Linked DNA regions of Saccharomyces cerevisiae S288C. Changing the gene in region 1 together with any one later gene gives a genetic interaction. Each region holds a gene or a part of one and is shown on either strand. Other genes may lie near its edges.

What was found.
Region 2: mutations in KIP3 (region 1) and PAC1 together harm fitness more than expected from each alone (negative genetic interaction), as found in Saccharomyces cerevisiae (6 studies listed by BioGRID, with this or other methods).
Region 3: mutations in KIP3 (region 1) and LDB18 together harm fitness more than expected from each alone (negative genetic interaction), as found in Saccharomyces cerevisiae (5 studies listed by BioGRID, with this or other methods).
Region 4: of KIP3 (region 1) and STU2, changing one enhances a phenotype caused by changing the other (phenotypic enhancement), as found in Saccharomyces cerevisiae (4 studies listed by BioGRID, with this or other methods).

Annotation. Positions count from the first base shown.
Region 1 is NC_001139.9:82,971-88,464, reverse strand, and holds KIP3 (tubulin-dependent ATPase KIP3), read right to left. Parts: upstream 3,581-5,494; coding exon 1,163-3,580; downstream 1-1,162. Other genes in the region: CLG1 (Clg1p), read right to left, coding at 1-484; ERMES complex subunit MDM34, read left to right, coding at 4,208-5,494.
Region 2 is NC_001147.6:823,829-828,369, forward strand, and holds PAC1 (Pac1p), read left to right. Parts: upstream 1-2,556; coding exon 2,557-4,041; downstream 4,042-4,541. Other genes in the region: putative serine/threonine protein kinase HRK1, read right to left, coding at 1-1,039; YOR268C (uncharacterized protein), read right to left, coding at 1,706-2,104; VPH1 (H(+)-transporting V0 sector ATPase subunit a), read right to left, coding at 4,224-4,541.
Region 3 is NC_001144.5:38,780-42,018, forward strand, and holds LDB18 (Ldb18p), read left to right. Parts: upstream 1-1,886; coding exon 1,887-2,426; downstream 2,427-3,239. Other genes in the region: FRE6 (putative ferric-chelate reductase), read right to left, coding at 1-692; COF1 (cofilin), read right to left, coding at 1,025-1,442, 1,622-1,635; bile acid-transporting ATPase YBT1, read right to left, coding at 2,501-3,239. UniProt on the Saccharomyces cerevisiae protein: May be involved in protein-linked oligosaccharide phosphorylation since the deletion reduces the negative charge of the cell surface.
Region 4 is NC_001144.5:234,385-240,134, forward strand, and holds STU2 (Stu2p), read right to left. Parts: upstream 3,320-5,750; coding exon 653-3,319; downstream 1-652. Other genes in the region: YLR046C (uncharacterized protein), read right to left, coding at 3,617-4,429; FRE8 (putative ferric-chelate reductase), read right to left, coding at 4,963-5,750.

The DNA.
Region 1 (5,494 bases):
CAGTGGTCTGGTCATCAGTACTATAGTTCGCGTTGAAGGCAACAAAGGCATTTTCCATGATAAATTTTGACATTATAGAAATATCGTAGTCCAAGTTCTCACTGACGCCCCCATTTACTTGGTTAGATTGTTGTGGTTGTTGTTGTCCATCCCGAATCATTTGAACAGGAGGAGGAATAACGTTGCTGTTATTGTTACTAGTGTACATTAGGCCCGGAGGGGGAAGGATAGGTGGTTGCTGGTGCTGTTGAAGTGGTGCAGGAGGAGCATAGTAAGTAGAACTTGGCTGATTGAAGTAACCTAAAGAAGCCATGGATGGCAACTGAGTATGAACTGATTGCGAGGGAACATGACCTAAATATTTAGGCAGTTGCCTAGCAACATTAACAGCAGAAGTAGCCGAACCTTTCGGAAAAGGCAAACTAATTGGATAACCACTAGAATTACCCATCGTTTCAGGATAATACTTGAAAGTATTAGCCATTTCTATATGAAGGGGGGTTTGTTGGGGGGAGGGGGGCTGAAGACGAATTAACTCAATAACTGTCTTAATAATGTTAAAGAAAAAAAAAATTCCTTGTAGTGTATAAGCTAAACGCTAATAAAGCTGGTTTAAATGTGTGAAACGAAGTCTCTTCGAATACTGTAAAATAACCCCACTGAATATACACAAACACACAGAAAAAGGATTAAAGTTAATAAAAAAAAACGACTCGAAGACTTAAAGGCAAACCTTCAAGTAATGCAGTCTCTGTAAAAACAACAGCAAACACAAATTTGCTAAATTTTGCTTAAAAGAGTCTCCTGAGAAACGTTTTCTTTTAATTTGGGTCAATAAAGGAAATTAACCCAGTAAAAGGCTTTAGAGAAAAAAAAAAGGAAGAAAAAACGAGAACGAGAATCTAGTATATGATCCTTGTGCGTTTTTCTTAAAAGATCAATGATTTGTGGTGCTTAGTTTCTTTTAGAATCTCTTAGAAAGTAGGTAATGTGTCTAATGACTAAAAGCAATTATTCACTTTGAACCTTTTCTCGTGCCAAATAAATTCAAAAAAAAGAAATTAAAGAAAAATTTTTCCCGTAACCCGGAATTAATCAACATAAATGCGTTTAATGCTGGCGGAAAGAAGTTATATTCGATAGTTTACGTAGGATATGTATGTTATTTCCTGGCAGTGGCCAGTAGACTTTGATGAGTAAGAAGGGAGGAGCGCATCTTCCTTCTTGGAACCGCTGTAGTCGGAGCGGAGGGGGTCGAGGGCCCCTGCTCATTGAATGTGGTATCTTGCATACTTACGTCCACTTCACTTGCAATGGCGTCTTGATCTTGGTGTAGTTCTGGTTCTAGCTCCGGTTGTGGTTCAATCATAGGGCTGGGACTAAGGTCGGGACTCGTCCACTTTACTTTTTTTTGGGAAAAATTTTGCCGTTGTAGGGTCTCAGCGGGAACAGCCAAGTCAGCTGCCGTCGTGTTTATTATATTTATATTTGTGTTTGTAAAATTGCTATCGGGATTGGCGATAAAAGTTCTGGCAAAAGATTCAAACTCCTCGTCGATATGAACCAGGTCTTGAATTATGGATTCAATGTTAGGTGTCCTATTCATCAGCCACTTTGATAGAAATTTAAATCGGGAGTTCAAACCCGGATCTGACATTAATTTTTCTGTCATTATGGAGGAATTAACCAAGATTTCGTTTCTTTGTAATTCTGATATTTGATTTAAACACGACTCCAAGTACACCAGGTCGTAAGTTTCATCCCAGTCCTCCATCTCTCTTAACTTGTTCAAGTCAATGGAATGTACCTGATGAATGACGGAACTCAGAGTGTCGGTTTCATCAAATTTCATTTCTAACTCGTGTATTTTGTTATAAAGCTGACCACTGATCATTCGGCAATTACTAATCACCGGCTGCATCTCGGCGGCTGTACTTTCCTCCCGTTCAAATAATAGTATCAAATTATCCACTTCTAGCTTGACCATTTGCAAAAACCGCCTTTTACAAAGTATTAATGATTTCAAGGTCTTGGCTACTTGATACGTTTCCACTCCTGCATACGTTTGCTGAACACGATTGACGCACTCGTTAATGGCTAACTGGATCTTTTCTTTGTTTAGTTTGTATTTCGTTAGCTTCAAAGAAATCATCTTCTCTTCACGTTCGCGTAACTCTTCGATTTGTCGCTTTTGTTCCGTAATCATTTTCAAATAAGATCCAACGTGTCTACTCAAAGACTGCTGATTTCTGATTATTTTGGTCTTTATTTCTTTAGCACGATTTGCATATTTCAAAGTATTCAATGTCTCATCATAATGTGAACTGCTGGGCGATATGCAAACAATCATGACTGTTTTGCAATTGCCACCCAGTGAAAATTTCAACAGCCTAGTTAACTTGGAATCCCTGTATGGAATATGACAGCTTCTGCTGCCATCATTCAAGCACAACGCGTTAATGCAATTGCCCAGTGCTAGTAGGGATCTATTTATATTCGCACCTTCGTGTAATCTTATACCACGGTTTCTTGTTGCGGCGGCTCTTTCGCTCCCAGCTAGATCGATTATTGAAAGTGTAGCAAATGTATGTTGCGAGGTCAAGTCTACAAGCTTATTTGTCTGCATGATGTGTATTTGCAGCACTGCATGAGATCGTGAAGATACTTCGTTTGCTTCCGTCGGTGACGTAGTCCTGTTTATGTTTCCCTGGACAACTAAGTCCATCACATCTTCTACCGTATTTGGGTGGTGATACGACAAATTCGCCACTTTGATGTGGTTCTGCGTATCTTCTCTAATGACCAATCTTTTAGATGGTGTCTCTGGTTTCAAAAGGTCTCTGATTCTTTCATTGTATATTTCCAAGTAAGACAGTGAAATCTCGAAGTCTTTTTCGTCCTTCAGGTCTGTAATTTTATTGAATAGTTCCTCCATGGCTAGAAATATGATCCCCGGCTGTGAAGGTGTGCCACTCACAGTATATGTCTTGCCACAACCAGTAGCACCGTAAGCAAATACGGTACTGTTGAATCCATCTAAAACAGAATCTAGGAGCGGGCTGGTGGTCTCTTTGTATACACGGGCTTGGGAAGAGGTTTCATCAAACAATTTATCAAATACAAACTTGATTTCGCCACCGTGCCTTCGACGTTGCGAAGAAAATTTGTTCGTAGCATTGCTGTTATTGATAGAGGACGCAGTGGCCTTAGTGGCCCTTGCACGCATCGAGTTCAGGACCTGATCACTCACTTTGTTCAATGGGTTTCTATCAGCTGGGTCGAATATGAGCATTCTATCATCCACACAATCCACAATTTTACGTATACCCTCCGGTCTAATTACTTTTCTCCTCAGCAAGCTATTTCTTTTGCTCCGCGTAGAACCTTCTTCAGCGTCTATGTCTATATCGGAGTCGGAGTTATTACTCATGGGTAATATTAACGACGAATCCCCCAAACCGGGAAAGTTAGCTTCTGCACCACTAGCTTCATTGACCAATCTTGTTTTTTCCATTGACGTAAAGGGCCTTACTCTTATAGCTACGACTATGGAGGATTGTCTTGTTTCAGGCACGTTCATGTTAGTGTCAATAGTATACAGCTGGAAAGAAAACTCAAGTAGTTAAAGAATGCAATGAAATGATAATCAGATAAACGATGCAATCAGGGAATATGAAAATTTTAATATAAAAAAAAAAAAAGAAAAATCAACAGCTTCGAAACACTGATCTGGACTTTTTTAACCTGCAGATATTTGTTACACGCAGATTATAAATTTTGTCTCTATAGGAACAGCTGAACACTATACTGGATACCGATGTTCTACCGACCAGACGTGAATGTATCTGGTCCTTTTGTATCCAAGGATAAGACAAACCAAACCCATACTAAAGTCATCAAACAAGGCATAATACAGGTAAAATAAACAAAACAAAAACTAAAAACACGGCTAGCTAAGGGAAAAAGTAGTAATGACCTAGGGTGAATAGCTTTTTTCAATTAGGTTTTTCCTTTTTTGTACTATATTAAATAGGGCTAAACTGTTTTAAGCATAGGGCAAAGAACTTATAAATTAGGTTTGAAAAAGGGCCATGAAGCCTTGTAGTAAAAAGAGACCAATTAGAAGAGTCATGGAAGATTCGTAAAACATAGAAACAGTAACAATTATAACAAAAAAAACACAACTGCAAGAAACTTCAGCATCGTCATGTCATTTAGATTCAACGAAGCTGTGTTTGGTGATAACTCTTTCAATGAACGAATACGGGAAAAGTTATCTACGGCTTTGAACTCACCGTCTAAAAAGAAATTAGATATCTTGAAAAGCGGAATTAAGGTACAGAAGGTGGATTTTCCTACAATACCACAGCTAGAAATTCTGGACCTAGACATTATCACGCAGCCCAAGTCTCTGGCCAAGGGGATTTGCAAGATTTCATGTAAGGATGCTATGTTGCGGATACAGACAGTCATAGAGTCGAATCTTTTATTGATTAACGAACAGGATACACCCAGCTTTACCATGCCCCAGCTCATCAATAATGGATCGTTCACAATTCCTATAACTATGACGTTCAGTTCCATCGAGCTAGAAGCCATCACGAATATTTTTGTAAAGAACCCTGGAATTGGGATATCCTTTAATGACGTTGATTTGGATTTTAAGTTTGATTGTTCTGTAAAAATTCTCCAAAGCACCATTGAGAGAAGGCTAAAAGAGTCCATGCATGTAGTGTTCAAGGATGTTCTTCCTTCTTTGATCTTCAACACGTCACAGAACTGGTTCACCAATCGCGGCGAGAGCACCAGTACCATCCCTGGTAAAAGAGAGCATCATCATCAACAAACTACAATGTCTAGGAATGTAATCTTGGACGGATCAGATTTTCAAGAGCTTTCTCCAATAAACATGCTACGTCTTTCAAGCATTGTGTCGTCGAGGTCAACACTGTCACTACATTCCACTGTGATGAATTCTCTTTCCGCTATACCTGGTTGCTTGGAAAGACAAAACTTGTACAGATTTATATCAAGGATGCCCTCTTTAAACAATTACTACTCTTCGCAATCATTTCCACAACCAAAGTCATCAACCGTATCATCAAAACAATTGGTAAAGCCATTCTACTGTTCCCACAATCTATTACCTAAAACAGTGTTAGATTCCAGCCAGTACGATTTGGCTACGATAACCAAGATTCAGTCTCGACTTTTCGATAGGAGTAACAGCAACGACGACAATGCCAAACCAAGGAGAAGAAAGATCAAATGCAAAAAGACCCGCACACCATCGAACCTACAATCACAAGGAGAACAGGCTGTTGATGATAGTACTGCTATTGAAACAGTTACGTCCACACCGGTCCAAACACCGATACCCGAGCTTGAAGAACAATCTCCCCCATATTTGAAAACAACAGTATCGATAAGGGATAAATACGTTATACCAGAAAAAATATCGCTAAATTTGGACTCCAAGAAAGATACATCTAAA
Region 2 (4,541 bases), on another chromosome or scaffold:
CACAATTATCCAATTTCAAATCTCTATGTGCCAATCCCATAGAATGTAAATATTTAACACCTTCAGTCAATTGCTTCAAGCAACAGTTGATCTCGCCACGAGACATCTTGCCTGTCATAACAACAGCAAAAAAATCAATCGGACAGTACTCCATAACTTCATAGTATTTATTTTGTTTAGAATCAGAGAAAACGTCAACAGTTTCGATAACATTTGGGTGATGTAAAGTCGAACCAATACAAAATTCTGCGGTGCACTTCTTGGCATATTCTTTCACACTCTCATTCGGTTTCCTTGGTCTGAATTCTTTGACGGCAAAAGTAGCACCATCAGTTGGTCTCACAAGAACTTTAACGGACCCACCGGCACCGGAACCCAATAACTTACCCAATTTCCCGTATTTTTGAGCCAGAATACAATCATCGTGATATATATTAATATTATTGGACAAAGATAGGATAGAATCGGTACTTGGCGGTATAGCAGACTGGGTATGAGCATAGTGGTCTGTAAAGCCATGAGGATGCTGGGCACGATAGTGATTATTTAAATTAACTGTAGAAGTTGATTTTGAAGGTGGGGGGGAATGGGTGCTATGTTTCTTGGAACGAAGTTGAGACATAGATAGTTTTTTATTTACAGAAGGTCTGAAAAACCTTTTCAATTCTGCCATGGAGTGGGTTTGTTTTGGAGAGGCGGGAGAAGTATAGTCATGGAGCCCATGAGAAATATTATGGTGGTGGTTTGTTTCATAGTTATTATTGTAGTTGTTTGTTGAGATACTGGTTGCATTAGAATGGCTATGGGTGTTGTTATTAAGGTTTGTTGTAGTATAATTTGTAGTGGTTGTGGTAGATTTCATGGAATCTGTAGATTTCTCGCTTCTTAGTGAGTCATTACTTTGTTTTCTACCAATGAAGTTTAAGAAAGATTTAGAACTTCTGATCAACTGTGGCGGGTTATTAGACGAATTTTCACGGTCATGATGATGGTCATTATGATGACCATGGAATGGGTTTCTCGACAATAGATTAGGCATCTTTATACGAGAAATAGTTCTACCGTATTATTATAATTATTAGTGTTATTATTTTTGTTTTCGATCAATTCTAGCGGAGCTACAATGTGGTAGTCAAACGCTGCTATTGTATTTAATTCCGGCTCGAGACCAGTCTGGAAAGTCGACGTATATCGTTACTACTATCCTTTTTTTATTATTCCTACTATTTCCTTATTGAAAAAGTGGAAAACTGTTAAATCTGGAAATTCTTCACGATTCTAGAAAAATAGGAGGTGAAGAAGATTTCTAAGCTTTTTGAAAAAAACGGGAAAAGGAAGAGGCCCAAAAAAGTGAAAAAAAACTGTGTGTGTGAAATGTAAACGAACTTTGCTCCCTCTAGGAAAAACTTCTTTAAGCGGTTGGGAACTGTCTTGGGCTTACTTGTTTGTAAACAGTTGTATGAATGATTCTATATGCTAATTCTCAGTTTGTCTCTCTTAAAGATTTGTCACTCTGAAATATATAGCCAAATAGAACTAGGCGAAGAAAAAGAAAAGGGGCGGCGACGACGTAGGGGTCAGGTAGAAGAGTTGGGCACTTATTGGCGATATAAAAGACAAAATACACTAATGCAAGAGTATGGTGAGCGAAAGGAAAATAAAGAAAGGCTACGTTATTGACGGATATATGAATCAAGACACAAGACTATTTTGTATAGTAAGCAGAACCGGCTTGTGTTTGTGATTCATGGATCAACGAGACGGTAGCGAATAAGCACCAACGGAAAAAAAGAAAACATACGCATACATGCACGTACAAGATAAAAAAAGCACAGGTGTGGTGGTAGTATTGGGATAACCAGGCACACGCTACTGCGAGATAGCAAAAGACCCTTCCCGTAAACCGCTCGGATAAACCGATTTTGTCCTTTAGCGTGACACGGATTATACGCGGGGATCCGGCGTCACAAGCCACGGCCCGTCCCGTCCGCGTGGTTTTTAATTCTGGCTCCGCGTAGTACATTTTGTAGCTTGCCTTTTTTCCGGCTTCTAGAAAACTGGAAAAACCATAAGAAAAAAATGGGAAGGGGAAAACAAAAACCATTCAGGTCTTGCGTGCCGAGAATTTTTTTTTTCTCTTTTTCGTTGTCAACTTTTGCAGTAGCAGCCGCTGGCGACCCGGACGGTAGCCATGGCAACGGTTAGCTAATGGTAGGTAAATAAAACGAGTAACGACGTTTTAGTATATCTTGGTAAACTACAATTAGATCTTAAAACGGTTCCTGAAAAAGTGCTTTCATCTACCATTGAATTTAATTCACTTCCCTTTATGGAATTTGCACTGGTTTTGTGCTGTGGGATGTGGGTGTTTTGAAATATTTTCAGCTTGCAAGTCGTGCATATTGCACTTGTTTCTTATTTTTGGCGAGTGTAAACGTAATAGGTAATCTTAGTATTGGGCCATCGTCGCCCAGATAGCCATTGATAAAGCAGCTAGGTTCGTCGTCCGGTTGTTGGTATACACCTGTGCGTGCGTAAGTGTAGAAAAAAATAGAAATGACTAACTGGCAGCAACAGCTTCCTTTAACAGATACACAGAAAAATGAACTCGATAAAAGTGTCCTCCGATATTTGAATTGGAATTACAAACAAACTGTACGACATGAGCATGCTCAAGATTACGAAAGTGTTCGACATGCAATTGTAACTCTATCAGGTTTTCTGTTGCAAGAATCAGTGGACCGGCAAGAATTCATCAGTAACAATGACACCAGTAACGAAAGTATGGTAGACATTGATGAATTACTGCTACCGAAGAAGTGGAACTCAATTGTTAGACTACAAAAAAAAATCATTGAATTGGAGCAGAATACAGAGACCCTTGTATCTCAGATTAAAGATTTGAACACTCAAGTGTCAGAACTAGCACAATTCAAACCTACCACCAGTAACGGCACCAGCGCACATAATGTTTTGAAATGGATACCGAGAAATCTACCAAGCTGTTTAATTAATGTTGAATCATCTGTCACTTCCGTCAAACTACATCCCAATTTGCCTATAGTGTTTGTGGCCACAGATCATGGCAAATTATACGCATTTGATTTATTTAACTACACCATCCCTCTGGCATCCTTGCAAAGTCATACCAAGGCAATTACCTCCATGGATGTTTTATTTACCAATTATACGAACTCCAGCAAGAAGAACTATTTGGTGATCGTTACCGCGTCTAAAGATTTGCAGATTCATGTTTTCAAGTGGGTCTCCGAGGAATGCAAGTTCCAACAAATTAGGTCTTTATTGGGCCATGAGCATATTGTCTCTGCGGTAAAAATCTGGCAGAAAAATAATGATGTCCATATAGCGTCCTGTTCCAGAGATCAAACTGTTAAAATTTGGGACTTCCACAATGGTTGGTCGTTGAAAACATTTCAGCCTCATTCCCAATGGGTTCGTTCCATAGACGTTCTAGGCGATTACATCATCTCTGGTTCACATGACACTACATTAAGGTTAACACATTGGCCATCAGGTAATGGTCTTAGTGTTGGCACGGGTCATGAATTTCCCATAGAGAAAGTTAAATTTATTCATTTCATCGAAGACTCTCCGGAGATAAGGTTTAGAACACCATCAACGGATCGATATAAGAATTGGGGGATGCAATATTGTGTCTCAGCGTCAAGAGATAGAACGATAAAAATCTGGGAGATACCTCTACCTACGTTAATGGCCCATAGAGCACCCATACCGAATCCTACAGATTCAAATTTCAGATGTGTTCTTACGTTGAAGGGGCATCTTTCGTGGGTTAGAGATATTAGTATTCGAGGCCAATACTTGTTTTCTTGTGCTGATGATAAATCTGTCAGATGTTGGGATCTGAACACGGGGCAGTGCTTACACGTTTGGGAAAAGTTGCATACAGGATTTGTCAACTGTTTAGACCTGGATGTGGATTTCGATTCTAACGTTACCCCAAGGCAAATGATGGTCACTGGTGGATTGGATTGCAAGTCTAACGTTTTCATGAGATAAGTTTGGCTTTCCTATTTCTTTTTCCCTTTTTTTTGACTCTTTTTAAGCATTGGTTGATACTTTAAATACTTTATTGAATTAGCATTGATAGTATATAATAAGGTTTACTCACTATATAGTAGCATCATTTATTATTTAATGAAGTACTTAAATGTTTCGCTTTTTTTAAAAGTCCTCAAAATTTAGCTTGAAGCGGAAGAGCTTGCACTAGCAACAGCGACTTCCATGTCTTTATACTCAAATGCGAATGGTTCGTATGGTAAACCTTCACCCACGAAAAACTTGGACATAGATTCAACCCAGTGCAAACGTAAGGAATGAAGCATGGCAGATGTACCTTCCATCAAAACAAGAACTGCACATGTTAGTGCGAACCACATGGCAAAAAGTGCAACCGTCATAAACACACCCACAAATCCTCTAAATCCAAAGGCAATTTGAATTGTCATTGTCCATAAAACACTAGACAATTGAGCATGTGCCAATGATAAGGCCCATAA
Region 3 (3,239 bases), on another chromosome or scaffold:
TTTAGAAACTTGAAGTGATTAGCGTGCTTATCTACTAAAAACGTAGGCAACACAAAATGGCCCCGAATATAATTGACGAACCGGCTTGCAAATAGCGCTCGATTCAGGCCGTTATAGTGACTCATATGGAAGAAGACGGCGATAATACCCACTATGACGAAGTAGTAAGTTAAATATGCACCATAAACACTGCTGATATCTAAATTATAGGCATGCGCATGAAAAGCTCGTATCCATCTAGATCTTGTCTCACGATCGACTCGAATGGATGTCGATAAACTTTCAATAGAACCATAGTCTTCCAAAGCGTGAGAAGAAGCATTATTTAAAGATGAGTAGTATTGCTCCAGTGAAATATTGCTAAACTTTTTATCGACAAACGAGCACGTTTTTCGTACGTTACCCAAGCTTTCTTCGAAACTTGTGTTGTCCATGGGAATAATCTGGTCTGTAAGCGAATTGAAGATACAAAGTGACCAAGTATCAAACGCTGGTGAATAAGAGCATATGGTAGAATAGAAACCCGGTACGACGGAGCTATCAAATGACCACTTCAGAGTATTTATATAGGATGCGCATGCCAGCACAGCGTTGGATTCCAAATGGTCTTTTTTTTCAGTGTGTGGTAATTTTATATTAAAAGCCTTTGTTAAAGATATCAGCCACGTTAAAAACAGAAGCGTTCTATGCATATTCAACGAGCTATGGTCGTCATGCTTCACTTTAGAAGATTATAGAAAAATCATTGCTGCCTGGTTCGATGACCTTGTATCTTTTCTTGATCTACATGGCCAGTATTTCCGTTCTGAATTTAGAATTACAAATATGGGTGCAAAAACAATGCCCACTAGCCGGGGTGTACGGGACCTTAAATCTAAGTATTGTGTTTTAGATAGAGTTGCGAAGAGAAAATTATAATTATAATAATTCTATACATGTATTCTGTATATATATGACGATTTTATATATAGATATACATTTTCATTTTTCTTGAAGATTGTTGTCATTTGTGAAATCATTTACCTTAATGAGAACCAGCGCCTCTGCTGACTCTTTCCAAAACAGAATCGTAAGAAACTTCGGAAAAATCAGTACCTTGAACATCGGTAGAGACACCGTTTAAGGCTCTTCTTAAGGCATCCTTGGAGGATGCATAGACCATCTTAGATCTGACTGGAGCAGTGTCTGGAGACCAAGTGAAGAAAACAATCTTGGATCTCTTACCTTCATTACCATTAATTTCGTATTCAAAATCGTAAATGGCGTAAAGACAGTCGTTTTCTGGCAATTTCTCTAAGAAGGCATCGTAAGATGGGTCAGTAGAGGTTTCCTTGACAACGATTTCGGTTTTAGCATCGTTCAATCCGAATAAAATAAATTTGTATTTTTTACCCAATTTCAAGTCATTGAAAGCGGTAAGGGATTCATCAGCAACAGCAACACTACACAGAAACTTCACATTTTCCTGGCTTCTTATGAATTTTTTCCCCCACATTCCTTTTAAAGTTCCATGTTAAAAAGGGAGGAAAGAAAGGACATAAGAGAGCGAGATAAAACAGCATCATGTCAATTAGTTAGTAATTGATAGTTTACACAGGAGTACAAATGAAATTTAGCATACCCAGATCTAGACATCTTCTTTTGTTAGTTTTTTGTTTATGTATGTTTTGAAATCTGAAGTTTACGTAGTTGCTAACCAGTCTTTTCTTGTTTCCTCTTTTTCTTCCAATTTTGTCATCAAACAGGGGCGGCGTCACCCGAATATTGTTCTTATTACCCGGATATTAGGTAATTTAGAGGTACTGCATATAGTATAAGTGATTGATGAACTTATAGAATGTTCTCTCGAGCTTCCAAGGCCATTAGCCTCTACCAAAGGAAGTTTGATGCCTGGTCTTAAGCTTGTTGAAGCTTTAGAATACAGGTGTGACCGATTGGAGCGGCTTATAGGCGCCGGATACAGCGCGAATTCCGATGTTTCAGTGCAATTAGATGAACTATACAATCAGTTACATCGTCTATATTTCCAGGGTCTAAAGTATTCTCAAGATCTCCTGCAACTCTTTAATACTTTCATGGCTGAAGACATCGAGAACGTGGGAGCTCCTGATGATATTTGTATTTTTGCTAGTTGCTTTGACGATATTTATACATTATATAGTGCATTTGACGAACTAAACAGCCAATATATGGAGTTTTGCCAAATCAGTAAAAGTTCATTGGATCAGATTTCCTTCAAAGACGCAAATATTGAAACGAAACAGTTGAAGAAGTTACCCGAGTTGGTGGATAACTGCAACATAATGATTTTGAGGTCAATTGCAATTCTAAACCGTTTCATCGACTGGAATATTGAAGTTAACGGATTCTTCCAGTTCCAGAAAAAGAGGCTGTTGAATTTACAAAAGGTAATTTATAGTACGTGAACATGTGTGCGTATATACATATATATATATATATATATATATATATATATATATATACTTTAGCATCGAAACAGCTAGTCCTTTTTAGAGTTCAATTTTTCCACAAAGGCTTTTTTAGCCAATTCAATTAGGATATCCAATTCTCCACTATGCTCACACATGCTATAAAAGGCACTTTGTTTGTTAAGTAACAAAGAATATGGGTGATCATACTCTTTTACCTCACCTGCATCCATCACCAAAATTTTATCATAATCGATAACAGATCTCAACCTATGTGCAATTGTCAAAATTGTACTACCTTGGAACTCTTTTCTTATGGTTTCTTGGATCTTCGCATCGGAACTGTAGTCGATGGACGCTGTAGCTTCGTCCAGCAATATGATCTTTGGACTCCTCAGTAAAGATCTAGCAAGGCACATCAATTGGCGCTGTCCTTGAGACAAATTGGATCCACCTTCGCTAATTTCACTACTTAAATCCAAGAATTTATTAACATTTTCGGAGTTAGTCGACGAAGCCTCATTGCTTGTTTCTCTTGTGGCGCCTTGTTGTAATTGTTCTTCACTAATTAGATTTACACGTTTCAAAGCTTCAAAGATCTGTCTGTCACTAAATTCATCATATGGGTCTAGGTTTGTTTTAATCGTCCCTGAGAATAGTGTTGGATCTTGTGGAATAATAGTTATAGAACGACGCAGTCTTTGTAAATCAACACCGGAAATATCGATATTATCAATTTTGATATGGCCTGTCTCAGGTTCCAAAAATCTGAACAAGGCGGTAATAATAGTTGATTTACCGGCACCGGTT
Region 4 (5,750 bases), on another chromosome or scaffold:
CGGACAATATTATGCAATTATGAAGAAAAGTACTCAAAGGGTCGGAAAAATATTCAAACGATATTTGCATAAAATCCTCAATTGATTGATTATTCCATAGTAAAATACCGTAACAACACAAAATTGTTCTCAAATTCATAAATTATTCATTTTTTCCACGAGCCTCATCACACGAAAAGTCAGAAGAGCATACATAATCTTTTAAATGCATAGGTTATGCATTTTGCAAATGCCACCAGGCAACAAAAATATGCGTTTAGCGGGCGGAATCGGGAAGGAAGCCGGAACCACCAAAAACTGGAAGCTACGTTTTTAAGGAAGGTATGGGTGCAGTGTGCTTATCTCAAGAAATATTAGTTATGATATAAGGTGTTGAAGTTTAGAGATAGGTAAATAAACGCGGGGTGTGTTTATTACATGAAGAAGAAGTTAGTTTCTGCCTTGCTTGTTTATCTTGCACATCACATCAGCGGAACATATGCTCACCCAGTCGCATGTTGTTACCCTCATGAAACATGTATGAGATATTACTTTGAATAGGTTACTTGCATGCATTTCGGCGTGCGGGTACCACCTCTTTGCATGAGCTTGTTCCTTTTTCAAGTTGAAGACTATATATTTTATTGAGTTTATGTTATGGGGAGGCTACCCTTTACGTCCTGGTTGTCCCTTCCCGCCTTGATTTGGCCTTCATTTTTTCAATTCTGGCCTTTAGGGTAGATGTCACTGCAGCGGCACGTTTATAACTTTCTTCTGAGGCAAAACTATCGTTGAAATCGATATCCAAATCGTCGGAGACACTGCTCACTCCAGTGCCGTTTTTTCTGTACGGCCGTATGTTAAGAGAGTTTACGCGGTGCGGCAGGTCGCCGATGGACTCGCTTGATCTTCTTTCATAGTTGACGTCCTCTTTCCTTCTGACATCTTCCTCCTCCTTAAATGGCAAAGCGGAAGATAAAGATTTTACCCCATAGTTGCTTGACACGGTGGAAGAAGGTATGGAGTATGATGAAATCGTACCCATCGATTGCAAGTTTGTATCATTTCTTTTCTTATTTCTATCCAATTCGATCTCCATGTTTCTAAGCTCGTTTTCTAGTGACAGTACTCTATCAGACAGCTTATTGACATCAATCTCCTTGGATCTTAATTGAATGTTCTTTTCGTTCAATTTAGACTGCGCTTCCTTTAGTTGCTCTCTTAGCATTTCGTTTTCTTTAATCATTTCGATCTTATAATTTTCTGTATTATTCATCTTTTCCAATAGGCTTTGTCTTTCTTTGGTCCATATCATCTCATCATTTTGTAGTTTTTGCAGTCTGTACTTGTATTCTTCAATCAACTTTTCATTCTTGTCAGTGCTATTAGCTACTACGTTTTTTGGCGTTGCCAAAGACTTAGACGTCAACAGGACCCTCGATTTATTGTTAGCAGCTACCATTGATGGTTTTGATGCGGAGGCTACTGACCCTATTGGGTTCACTTTACTTTTGTTATCATTTCTCAGCGGTGAAGATGCCACTCTCTTGGAGGGAAGTACAGAACTTTTTTTCAGGAGAAATTTATTCTCCATTGGCCCAGTTTGTTTATTCGTTTCAATAGTGCTATGGGTACTACCACTTGCAATACTGAAATTAGGTAGAGTTTTGACCGTTTCTTCAATTTTTTTCCTTTTCAAATTATCCAAGTGCTCTAATGTTTTCACAAAGGTATTCATGCCAAATATTTTAATTAGAATGGCGAAACTCTCAAATCCAATAGTTCTTATAGCAGGTTGGGTGTCGTTGACGATCTGAATCACAATTGGTACCACTTCATCCTTCAAGTATCTTTGCAGGGTCGAGTATCCATCTTTTTCTTCTTTCATGCTTGCATTAAACAATTGCGTACACTCCATTCTGATTTGAGGTGTCTTGTGCTTCATATGCTCCAAAATATCTTTCAACATATCTTCATTGCGTCCACTGGAGGCTAATGGATCGTAATACTTGCAGATGGTTAATAATGCCTTCCTAATGGCCTCTATCACAGAAGGTTTCTTTTCCTTTGTCCTGTCTAACAAGGGAGTGAAGACTAGTGAAACATAATCCTTGGAAAAGCCTGGTGTTTTTAGTTTGTCGCAGATTAATTCTACTGATTGAGCGGCTAGTGCAACAGCTTGAATGTTTGCATCTTTCTGGATAATATGGCCATATATCCCCAATAAGTTGGAATAATTTTGCGAGGTGCTTTTTAACTTCTTAGTCTGCGATAGAACACTATCCCAAAATTCTTCCAGCGCTTCCACTCTATCTTTCCATTTGGACGACGTTATCCTTTCCTGGAAGTCCTTAGGCAGTTTATCGAGGATCGTCTCCTCCGGTAGCATACTGAAGGTGTCTATTTGAACTCCACTTTGCTGTTTTGATGGTGGCATATCCGTTTCCATCCCCATCAATGTATCTCCATCCTTATCTATCTGATATTCCCCCTCATCATTCGATAATATGGACTTTCTTTTCCTGGCTTCCTCCTCTTGGCTTCTTTTCTTTTCCAATTCTCTTTTCTCCCACTCGAATAACATTTTCGATGACGATGGCTCGTCACCAACTTTTGCAAACAATTTATGAAGATCTTTCACTTGAATTGGTTTTAATTTTTTAAACAGTATCTCCTCTAACAAGTCGCTATTGTTGCCCGTAACCTTATAGATCTCGACAATCAAATTCATCGTTTGTGATCGAACGTTTCTATCACCATGACCGGCTAGTTGAGGTACGTGCTTTAATAATTCTGGTAGAAACGTTTGAACGTTCACATTAGTGAGCCCGAATGCAGCCATCAACTCATAAACACAATTGGCTGCCGCAGCAATTAATTTTGGCAGTTTTTTCTCGAAAAAGGGTATTACCAATTCCACCGATTGCGTAATAGATGTATCAAGACCACATAGTGAGAGTATACAGCTCATCGACTGCGTCTTCGTTGTAGCCCTTGAGGACGTTAAGCCCTTTTCCACAAGCAATGGTGTCCATGTTGATATTAAAGTAATATTATGTGCATTTTTCAAAGACGATGACGCAAAGGCATCTATTAAACTATTCAAGGCAACAATGGCTTGTTCTTGAGCGACCACATTAGAATCAGTTATATATTGTGCAAATAATGTAGGATCCCTCCAGTAAATTTGTATGTTGTCATCCCTACTGATGTCGCCAACGGAGTTTCTAAAAAGCTGGTTTAACTCCTTATAAGCTTCTAAACGTGCCTTCCATAACTTGTACGTTAATCGCTCTTCTAGGGGTAACGTTGTATAATCTACTTCTTCTTCTCCTGACATAGTCAACTTCAAACTCTTTAATAAAAACTCAAAAATACTTTACACTGTAAAGATAGCTGTTTCTTTGTAGTTTAGTAATGCTATTTGGTCCCTAGGTCTGGTAGGTTCTTCATTTACTCTTCCTATGGAGTGTCAAGCAGACAAAACAAAAACAAAAACAAAAACAAAAACGACACGAAAAAAAATAGATTCGTTAACCATGATAATCTTTGCACCATATAAAGGAAAAGACAAGATTGACTTCTAATGCCCAGCACAAATATTATCCAACTATTTAATTAATAAATTTTTGACTACTTAATCTTCAGACACAGATTCCTTGTCTAATAATTTGTTTAATTGAATATTGACAGATTTATCCTGCAGCTTGAACAAATTTCTTGCGCGAAAGGTTGCTAGGAAAATCAAAGGTAGTAAAAACATTAGAACTGTATCGAAAACGTAAAGGCACCATTCGTGCTGACCTATATAGCTTTGTAAGCCCATTAGAAATTGTACTACTCTGACAATGGTTCTACCATTAACCAGCAATATCCCAGCTAAAAGTATAAAATTGTACTGGAACCATTCATTACTATCCCGCACAATTTTACTAGGCGTTGCCTTCATTTTATAGTGAAGAAAAAGTTGACTGAACGTTAAAAAGGTATAACAAAATATCTGAATGAAAAGACCCACAATAATTAGGATACGCCCAGTATTCCTGCTGTTCCATGAGGATAACAACCCACCTCCTACAGCCTGTAGGACACGCCCAATCATATCTGCCACTACGAAAGAAACTGTACTAAATTTCGCAGGAATTAACATATATGCCTCCATAAGAATTAGACGTGCCATTTTGCTGAACAACATAAAAATACTAAGGGCGTAAAGTGAAGGTGCTATCAATAGAAGCACCGATTGAGCAATGAAAGTCGAAATCGAGGGGCTATTGATAAAGACTATTTTCAACACATAACCCACGAACTCTAAACAAATCCCTAAAACGAAAGGAAAATGTGTCCACATCAAACCGCGGGCAGGAAAGTATATTATTGTGGAATTTTCCTCTGACAACTCATTGTTTTCCCAGCGATGAATACGTCTCTTGCTCGTGTGTGTTGCCATTATGATCTGCACCAAGGCAGAAAGGATTAAAATGCCAAACAGAACGACAAATGCAATCGCTGCACCTTTGTGAGGATTGTATGCATAAAAACCTTCATAATCAGTGATTGCTTTAGTAAAAAAATTCCTATTGAGGCAGTTGAGTTCTTTTATCGACAATAAGTCTCTAGTACAGTAGTGAGAGTGTCATGTATTCAGTACCAAGAAGAACTTATATGCCTTTTATAATTCATCTTATAAGTTGCTAGACATACAAATAATCAATATGGAAATGTGCTTATTCCCGCTAATATCCATTAATATCCGCTGTCATTTTTCGCAACTATCACCAAGTGGAGAGAGGCTTGACAACCACCAGAAAAAAACTAAATCAGCCTGCGGAACTTTTCTCGGAAAAAATCAGTTAGAAAAGATCGTACATAGGGCCCTTTTTTGACAGTAAGATTAAAGAGCAAAACGGGACATTATAGATATGCCACCATCAAATACGTGAATTTTCCAAGCCTCATAAACTAATAGCCAACTTGCAACTCTTATAATGCAAAACTTTCTCCGTGAAAGTGTAAACCACCATCTGTCGCCCATCTTTTGGTGCTTTCAATTAAGCCTCTAGGGCCTGCAGCGAGAACCCATACTTGTGACAAATATTCAGCATGGTCTCTGCCTTGATTCGCCCACCTGCAACATTGAATAGAATCCGTCTCTGCATCACATTCGGTTTGCAGACACCATTCATAATCCTTATCTCCAAGTGTAGGCCTGCCAAAGAACACTTTAACACCTGCGGGAATTCTGATCTTTTTAGGCGCCGCCTCTAAACAAGGATCTTGGGCAGGTGGCTCAATGATCTTTGGTTGTCTGAAAACGCTCGATCCGTTAAACGAAGAATGTGTAGTTAGAGTTCCTTGTGCAGTATTTTTCCTTGATTTGGATCTGCTAAAAGCATATGTAAAATCTATCTCGTCATCAGCATTGATGTCAGGTATATCACTTGTTTTTGGTGGGTGATGGTTTCTCAAGGTAGATTTCTTACTTAGAAGGGCTGTGTTCTCATTGGGCTCCGTAGGTTGGGGATTTCCATCTGATAACATGGAATTATCTCCCAGTTCTGAAACTCGGCCGCTCGAAGAAATACTCCTGACTTCATCATTAATATCAGCAGCGCAGTCATGATAGTCAATATAATCAATTTCTATGTCCTGTTCGTTGCCTTCGGTGCCACTAATATATATCTCCATACCTTCAAAATTGTTTTTGAAGTGGTTCAATACTTCCAGATCCTTATAATCTCTAGAAACCCAAAGGAGCCTAACGTTTACAC